2 linked regions of the Drosophila melanogaster genome follow. The protein of the gene in region 1 interacts with the protein of each later gene in a pairwise test. Each region holds a gene or a part of one and is shown in the gene's direction. Other genes may lie near its edges.

Region 1 (4,256 bases):
CTACAGAGCAAACGGAAAATGGAAATGGTGAAAGTGAGGGTTCCAATTGGCGGCAATATTGGACAAAAAGGAATAAAAACGAAAAGTTACTGGAGGAGCATCGTAGGGATTTGGAAGGAGTCCAGGATAATGACGAGCAGGAGGAGAAAGAAACTATTCGGAAACCATTAATAGAAGTAAAACCTGCTAAGAAGAAACTTAAGAAATCGAAAGTTAAGATAGAAAATGGCTGGGAGGTGGAAGATATTTGCCCAACTGATCAGAAAGAAGCCAAGGCAAGCCCGAATTCAAAAGCCATTGATGACATTTTTGAGAAACACGAGGATCATATCAGAGCCAAACTAAATAAGAAAATGGAGAAATTGAGGGAACGGATAAACAAACTTAAAGAAGTTCCTGTCAAGGGAAAGAAGGCGAAAAAGAAGGACGTCTTGCAAAACCTAAAAAGTCTGGCTTTAAAAAAGACAAAGCAACAGATAGAGATTGACGAGCCCCTTAACTACGAGGAGGATAAAAATTCACAGAATAATATCCCTGCCCACGTTGAAGGTAACACAGAAAGCACGGAAATTCCAGCTGTGGATACCATAGATCCCAACAAGGTGACAACTTTGGTGTTTACCCAAAAGAAGGGCAACTCGGGAGGCTTTAACGATGCTCTAATAGACGATGAAGCAGCTGAATACGACGAGGAAGACGCCGCTGCTGAACGCCAGTTGACAATCAGTCAAGCCTTCGAGGATGATGACATTGTAGCTGATTTTAATCGGGACAAAAGCAAGGACTCCGAGCTTAAGAACACTGAGCTTCAGCTCGCCCTGCCTGGATGGGGTTCCTGGGCGGGTGCTGGCATTTCGAAGGAGGTAATGGAGCGACGAAACAAGCGGCTTCTTCTTAAGTTGGCTGCTCCGGAAAAGCGTCGTGACGAGAATAAGGATAATCTTTACCTCAACGAGTCCGCCAGCAAGCAGGCGCGCCAGCACATGGTCTCCAGCATACCATTTCCTTTCCGATCCCTGGCAGACTACGAAGCCAGTATCCGTGCTCCAGTTGGCCGGAACTTTGTGCCGGAGACGGCGTTCCGCATGCTGACCCGTCCGGCAGTAATCACGCGCAAGGGCCAGGTAATCGAGCCCATGACAGAGAGCGAGCTGGTCAAGCCGGACAGGCGTCTACGCCACATCGTGGACAGGAGGATAAAGCGCATACCGAAAGTGCCACCCAAGGCCAAGATAGCATAGAACTAGGAATATTTTTAAAAATAAATCTGAATAATATGAACGATTGCCAGTCTCCTAATTTACTTAGCTATAGAAAGGGAAATTATTATATAAATTGCATTATTTTCTCAAATTGTTTTTTATTTTTGTTAATAACTGAGACATTTCTATAAAAAAAACTTGAATTAAAAAGAGTTAAACAATGTTTTGTTTGATTTTCGTTAAAGGTATAACGACACAACAGTAGTTGACCAAGCAGAATATTCTGGATGAAGTATAAAATGTATAAAAACTACATTTTAAATTTGAATTCAATAGCTTTCATTACCGCACGCAATGTGACCAGATTAATGGTGTTAAGTGGAACGATAGCGATAGCGTTGCCTTAAATTATTTGGTATTTTGTAAAGTTTCTCACAGACGGCAAGCACATTTTGGAATTGATAATTTGCGCAGGTTATTGTGTTTATCCAACGATTCTCGCCGCGAAAATGTACGAACTGAAGACTCTGCTGCCGCAATTCGACATAAAGCTGCCCACCTGCATGTATCCTCTCAAGAACGTTAGCCTGGCGGCGGATTCCTTGGCCAGCGGCTCCTCCACATCCGCATCCACATCCGCGTCCACATCATCATGCGTAAGTTTATTTGCCGGGCCAGTGAGAAGTTGGTCGGGTCGCAAGGACAGTGAAAGTGCAACGTATGTCTACAACGCCACATCCATTCCATTCCCGCATGTGTGATCCTTGCCAGAAATTGGAGGCCAACAGGATCGACAGAACGGGACGAAACGCAGCCACATGTGCACTTGATTTGGACTCTTTAGGCCGACAAATACAGCGACTGCTAAAGGTTAAGACCACCAAACTAAAATACGAAATTCTATTTATAAACCACCGACTAACAAAAAAAAAAAAAGAACAATACGCCAGTACCAGAAATATTTATAATGCATCCATGCTTCGTTTTGTGTGTTCTTGTGGCCTTGGCTAACGTTATATGTCGTTCCCTAACACATCCTCTTTCCCTGCTTTTACTTTCAGGACGATACGGCATCAGTGGCCGCCCGACAGGAGAAGGTTCTCAAGCAGCTGGAGGAGCTGAAGGCGCAGCTGGGACAAATCCGGGCGGGACTTGGTGTTTGTGGCAAGACTTTCCAGCACACGACTGCTTTCCAGAATGGTGGATTAAAGGAGGTACGACTATCAATATGTCAAGGTCAAGACTAGGAGTTCAAAGGTTAAATAAGAAATAATTAAATAATAATCAAAGTAAACAATATTTAGAAGCTTATGCAATAGGATTTAATTATGTGTAACATAGCTTTGAAAAGTCTTAGCTTAAAAGAGAGTTCCATCACCTTTATTTAATAATATTTCCAATAAATCAAAACCAGGTGCCACTGCAGGATGTCGTCATCAATGGACATCCCAACTTCATACCCTATGCCTTGTTGGCCCTGAAAAATGCCTGGCGCAATCTGTACACTATTGATGTCAAGACCTTTACGCACTCTACGATGGCCGACATTGGACCAGCAGCACGGGAATTCGAGGCCAACTTGGCGAAGGTTCCAGTAAACCCTGCTTTGCCCAAGATTAGTGTGACGCTCATCTGGAAGAACTGTAAGTATAACACATCTACAAAGTACAAAATACTGTTTATTCGATGCCTTCCAGGCGAACACACCGAGATGATCAGCTCGCCCACCATGTACGTGCCCATCTACGGAGAGGTGAACATCATTCGCTATCTGGGCCGTGTGGGTCCAGCCGAGTATCGTTATGAGGGCTCTCCGCTCTGCAATGAGATCGACCTTGTCCTGGACATTTGCTACCAACTGCTGCGCTGCAACACGCACAAAACGCAGGTGGCCATGGTGCGCCTGCTGGACAAGCGACTGCAGAAGCAGCAGTATTTCGGTGGATCCCAGATGTCGGTGGCGGATGTCGGTGTCTACAGCTCACTGATACGCATGCCAGCTGTTACCGAGAAGGATCTGACGCCTGCGCTAGTGGCTTGGAGAAAAAGGGCCAAGCTCGTGGTTCAAATTTAAATAATTCAATCGACAAAGGCGAACAAATAAATTATAGAATTCAATGTGATGCACTGAATGGTTTTCTGTACCCTTTCCTTTCCTAACGAAAAACCATAACAATTAATCCATCCAAATTGAAGGACCATCTTATTTTTTTTTCAGTAATTTTATTTGGCTTATTTATCTTTGTTGCAATTCTGTTACTGTTTGAACAATGCGCTTCATCGTTTCCATATTGCAATAGCTGGTTTTAAACTTACTTTGTCAATTTTGCACTTAAAAATTGCTTAATCGCTATGTTTCCATATTTGCTTTTATTCTTGAAATCCATTGATTGTTTAATATGGTTTTTTTTTCTGTTCTTTACCTTGATGCTGTGTCCATTATGTACGATAGGATGCCGCGTCGCGCGAATTGGGACATTTGTATTTCGTTTCCGCTCATAAAAATGTGTGTATGTATATTTTTAAATATTAAATACCTAGTACATATGCTGTGTATATTGATAATCAGTTTCTGTTTGAGTTTCTTGTGTTATTGGTTTTATTCTTGTTTCTGTGTTGTGTGTTTCTTCTGCGTATAAATGTTTGGATTTGGAGAAGTCCCTGAACTCTTAATTGCTTGCCCACAGGCTGGGAATTGAGTTAGCCCGCATGCATATAACCTGTAGCTTATACGATCATCATCTTAGTTATCAAAGTAAAATTGAGTAGATAAAATCAGCGTAGGACCATTGTTTCAACTACCCTCGGTACATATAAACTTGTTAAATAATTGTTTTCTCAGTTGTTCGGTTTAGTTTCGAAACGTGTATAATTAGAATTAATAATAGTAATAATGTTGGAGAAATTAAAAGGCGGTGGCTCGCCGCCCTGGGCAGGAGTGGGAGGAAGAGATGACGCGACCCTGGCCTGGCTGCATTATGTGGTCTCGCCCTTGCCGCTGTCATCAGCGGATTCGGCATCGTCCGCTCCGGCGGCGGCCGCCTCTCTGACCAG
Region 2 (4,428 bases), on another chromosome or scaffold:
AAGTTCTTAGGAATGAGAGTAAATCTGAAAGGATGTAAGGCCTCTCGGTTCAAACAAAAAACCCTAAACAGTTTGGAGCTCATAAATCAAGTCGTACATTTATTCCTTCGCTACAACCCTTCTAATCTCTGATTCGGCTGAATTTTTTTTAAATATTTGCAGTAAAAATAACCCAAACGGAAATTAGTAAAAGCTATTTGAACTTCGTTCCATTAATTAAAGGATTTAAAATCATTTATTTATTTATTTATGCTCCATGAAAAATATTATATTTTCCGACTAGCACATACGTCCAGCGCCGACTTTATCGCCCTTATTGGACTCCAATTCCTGGAGGACCGATGAAAGAAGACTTATTTCGCGCATGATGAAGCTCATGATTTTGTCGATCTCATAGCTGTGGTAGCTGGGAACAATGTCTGCGGGGGTGGAGTTGGTACATCAGCTAGAGTCAAAGGATTTCAAGGACATACCTCGACGTTTGCAGAGCATGCGGTACAGGATTTGAATGCCATCAAACATGCGCTCCTTGTCCAGGTTGTAGAGCGACGTGGTGTCCTTGCAGGCACTTAGTATCTTTTCCCACTTGAGGCAAGTGGCCCGCGAGCTGACATAGGAACGATCCAAACGGGCCAGATCGTTTTTGAGGCCCAAAACGGTCAAGGCCGCCTCGCTGGTGATCTGAACCATTCGCAGGCGCATCTCCTCGATCTCGTTGAGTTTCTGGCTCTCCAGCTTATTGATCTCCACCTGGGCCAACACTGCACAACAAAAACAAATTTAGAATGGAAATTACAGGAGGTGTGGAGAACCCACTTAGAGCGTCACATCGATCGATGCAGTCTTTCGTTGAGATGAAGATGTCCGACACCTCGACTACCTCCTCCAGGACCCTCTCGTATGGCTGAAACTGAGCCACCGTGGCCTTGAGCGCATTGCGAAAGGTGCTCAGTTCGGCAATGGAGGTCTTGAACTCGTCTATCTCCTTGGTGACCTCCGCGTGGAGAACGGTCTCCTCGCGAATCGACTTATCCGCACTGCGCTTTTTGTCCGCACAATCCTTGATGAATCCATTCACCTCGACGAAGCGTTTGCGCAGGCGCTCCTGAATCTTGTACATCTTGCGAATGCGCTGCACATTTAATGCGGCTTGCCGCTTGGCATCTTTGAGTAGCTGGATCTGAACCTGCTTCATGGCGTCGTACTCCCGGAGATTGGCTATGTACAGCATCTCGATGTTATCCCCGGCCGAATCCCAATTGGGCGGTTTCCTAGACCATCCAAGTTTCATTAATAGTATGACTTACATATTGTAGTTGCTCTTTTAGCTTACACGAAGAATTGGTCCTGCTGGCGAGAGACGCGATAGTCATCGATGGCGACCTCTGGACTGAGGTCCAGATCCCCGATCACATCGGTCTTAATGGTGGGCTTACGTCGCGGCATCTTGTCCTATTAAAATATAATCTTTTCAAATATATTGATATATATTGGGGGAATATCTATTGGAGAACGATGTGTGATGAGTAATTCTACATGTATATGGGCAGACAGCACAGTCAAGGATAAAAGGATTAAACCATTTTTTATTACTACATTCAGATATTTATGCAATTGCTGACGTTTCCTTCATAAGTACGACCAGTCGTTAAATCAAGTAAAAACAATTGAAAAGATATCATAATTCTATAGTTGTTGATTAAAAATTAATCATCATCGAGTATCAAGAGTATATTAGGTTCGGCTTGCCGAAGAAGCTTCCTATTTTGTTTTTTCGAAAGAAACCAAATTGTGCAGTTACCATGACACAAAACTGGTTACACCTTCTCAACCATTGCCACGGTAATAAAAGAACCTCCTGGCAACCAATTGTTTTTATGTGTCACCCAAATAAAAAACATGTTCCAAGTAGGTCTTGTTAATTTTTATTACAAAACAATAACACACTTTGAAAAGTAAGCACACAGCACACACAACTACTACTACAAAACGCACAATCCGCGCTGTATCGCGGTAACCAAAGCAAAAAAAAATATAAAAAACTAACAAAAACGTACACTTGAGCTTTTACTTTCGGCAAAGAGATCCAAGATGCCCCGCGTGAAGCCCACCAAGAAGCTCGATGTTCTGGGAAATCTGGACCTGCGGCCGGAGGATGCCGTGGGGGACTATATCAGCTCTAAGCAGCAGAACAAATTCTTCGTGTAAGTAGTGAATCCCACACTGAAAAAAGGCTGAAAGAGAAGTACCCAATCCTAAAATGATCCTGGTAGTGCAGTTTGAGATTTTTGAGAAATTTTACAGCTTCGTAATTTACTGTTGCAAGGATGTCTCTATCTGGTATCAATTATTTGACCTATTCGTAACTTCCTGTAGAATTCCACCGAACTCGGACTCTGCCGGCGACTCCATCGAACTGATATATGTGAACAATCTCCGCGAGCACGAAGCCATGCTCAAGCTGCAGGAGGAGATGCTGACCAGTGCCAAGCGGCAGACCAAGCTGAACTCCGCCCGGGTGAGGAACATGTACAAGATCCAGGAGCGGCTGAGGCGGCGCTTCATCGAGGTGAACAGCTTCATCAAGGACTGCGCGGACAAAAAGAGAGTGGCCGAGAAGACCGCCCAAGCGGAGACGCTCAACCATAAGGAGCTCGGCGAGGGCATTGAGAGCTTCAAGGACTCGATCGGCGAACTCAAGGCCTTTCGGGAGGCTCTCAAGGCCACCGTGCAGGAGTTCCAGCCCTACGAGAAGGTGCTCGACGAGGTGGTGAAGGTATCCGACATATTCGTCTCGCCAAAGGACTGCACCGATCGCTGTGATGCGCTGAGTGAGCATTGCTAATTTATAAAATGAAATAAAGTTATTAATTTTTTTTTGTTCTACAGTGCTGGCTCAAGTGGAGATCAACAAGTTGGAGCATCAAAAGCTCCAGGACATCGAGAACATGCGGCAGCGTATGGTGCAGATCACAAATGATGCGGCTCTAACTGTGCTGGGTCTAAAGAACGATCTGGCCAAACTGGAACGATCCTACAACGAGTCCAGAGTGCAGTGCCTCAGATGGGAGAAGATCCTGGCCAAGACCAAGGACGCCATCAACAACAACTACATGGACAAGGAGCGCACAATAGATGCGATTACCAACCTTCACCGAATCCTTCTACGGCGAAGAGGTTAGTCAAAAAATCTTGCTATTATTAAATAATTTATTCATTTTATTATTTTAGATGTACATTCGTTTCCCGCTCGCGGCGACTTGGACAAGGTGTTGGATGCCATCATGGGCGAAGTGGAAATATTAACTGGCGTTGTAAAGGAAATCGAATCATCTGATCCCTCGATAAAGCACGAGGAAGCCAGAGATAAGTCGCTGTGCTAATTGGATATCAAAATTCAAAGAGTTCATAGGGAAGACTAGGCACACCTCACAGCTATTACAACTATAAAAGCTTATTAAAAGCGAAACTTTTAAAACGTTTGTTTGTTTCTATAGAAAGAAGTGCTTTGTGTGATGGTTCGCTGCTCTTAGCCTGCTCCTGCAGCTTGTGGCAATTGTTAATTGTGCTGAGCTCTGCATTCGGTTGTTAATGCCACTTTCTAATTGCTTTTACCTCATAAATCTTCTCCGCTGCTCCTCAATGCCTCCGTCCAAGTGGATGGTCCGAATTGGGGTCCTGGAGCGGCTTTCGTCGCGTCCTGCTCTGCAGTCATCATAAGTCACCGAATTGTCGGGCACTCAAGACAAATGTGACACTTGCTTATTTAATTAGAGATCTGCAGGCGGGATGGAAGGCCAGTACTTAAGCTCCAGAGTCTGTGCATCAACTGGACGACATTTAGCGCTAACTGCGCCAACTTCGCTTGACGGCTTTTTAATTACGTCAGCCCGGGAAATGTTCCTCTTACCACTGCTCTGCATGACAATTAGCCGGTCTAAAAAAAAAAACCCGCTCTCTGGTCAATTGAAAATTTTCTTGCTATTTTTCAGCAGGGAAAAACTTTTTTAATTACCACCGAAAAGAGACGGTGACAAAAAACAATAGTCGACCATTCGGCCGGCGGCTCTGATTTTCAATTATTTATTGACAGGAGTCTCGATTCGTCGTTTAACCTGTCGAACTCTTGACACGACCTCCGCTTTTTCAGCAAATGCACAAGTTGGGTTTGGGCTCAACACTTTTGCTGCAATGCAACTTTAATGCCGGCTAACTGACAGATTCAACTTCAATAATTGATGCGAAAATGCATAAAACAATTTCGATAAAACAGTTTTTAGATGTCATCGTGTTAATTATGCATATGCTAGAAAAACAATCCCTTTGACCGGCAAAATAATTGGCTTAAACATTTGAATTTGTGCTCTGCCAAAAGTTTGCACTTCTTCAGTGCGAGGAGTGGCAAAAATTAATCAGCACCACAAATTA

Evidence for each region. Proteins that work in one complex are often made in the same cells at the same time.
Region 2: the proteins of AIMP2 (region 1) and CG17564 interact in a two-hybrid assay, tested with the Drosophila melanogaster proteins (one large-scale study listed by BioGRID).

The regions. Positions count from the first base shown.
Region 1 is NT_037436.4:15,582,024-15,586,279, forward strand, and holds AIMP2 (aaRS-interacting multifunctional protein 2), read left to right. Parts: upstream 1-1,614; 5' UTR 1,615-1,711; coding exon 1,712-1,858; intron 1,859-1,973; coding exon 1,974-2,072; intron 2,073-2,263; coding exon 2,264-2,416; intron 2,417-2,616; coding exon 2,617-2,845; intron 2,846-2,899; coding exon 2,900-3,276; 3' UTR 3,277-3,324; downstream 3,325-4,256. Other genes in the region: CG12301 (uncharacterized protein), read left to right, coding at 1-1,241; CG7656 (uncharacterized protein), read right to left, coding at 4,179-4,256. UniProt on the Drosophila melanogaster protein: Required for assembly and stability of the aminoacyl-tRNA synthase complex.
Region 2 is NT_033779.5:19,297,391-19,301,818, reverse strand, and holds CG17564 (uncharacterized protein), read left to right. Parts: upstream 1-1,885; 5' UTR 1,886-2,091; coding exon 2,092-2,204; intron 2,205-2,376; coding exon 2,377-2,831; intron 2,832-2,889; coding exon 2,890-3,177; intron 3,178-3,231; coding exon 3,232-3,383; 3' UTR 3,384-3,474; downstream 3,475-4,428. Other genes in the region: CG10750 (uncharacterized protein), read right to left, coding at 280-417, 472-761, 817-1,271, 1,334-1,446.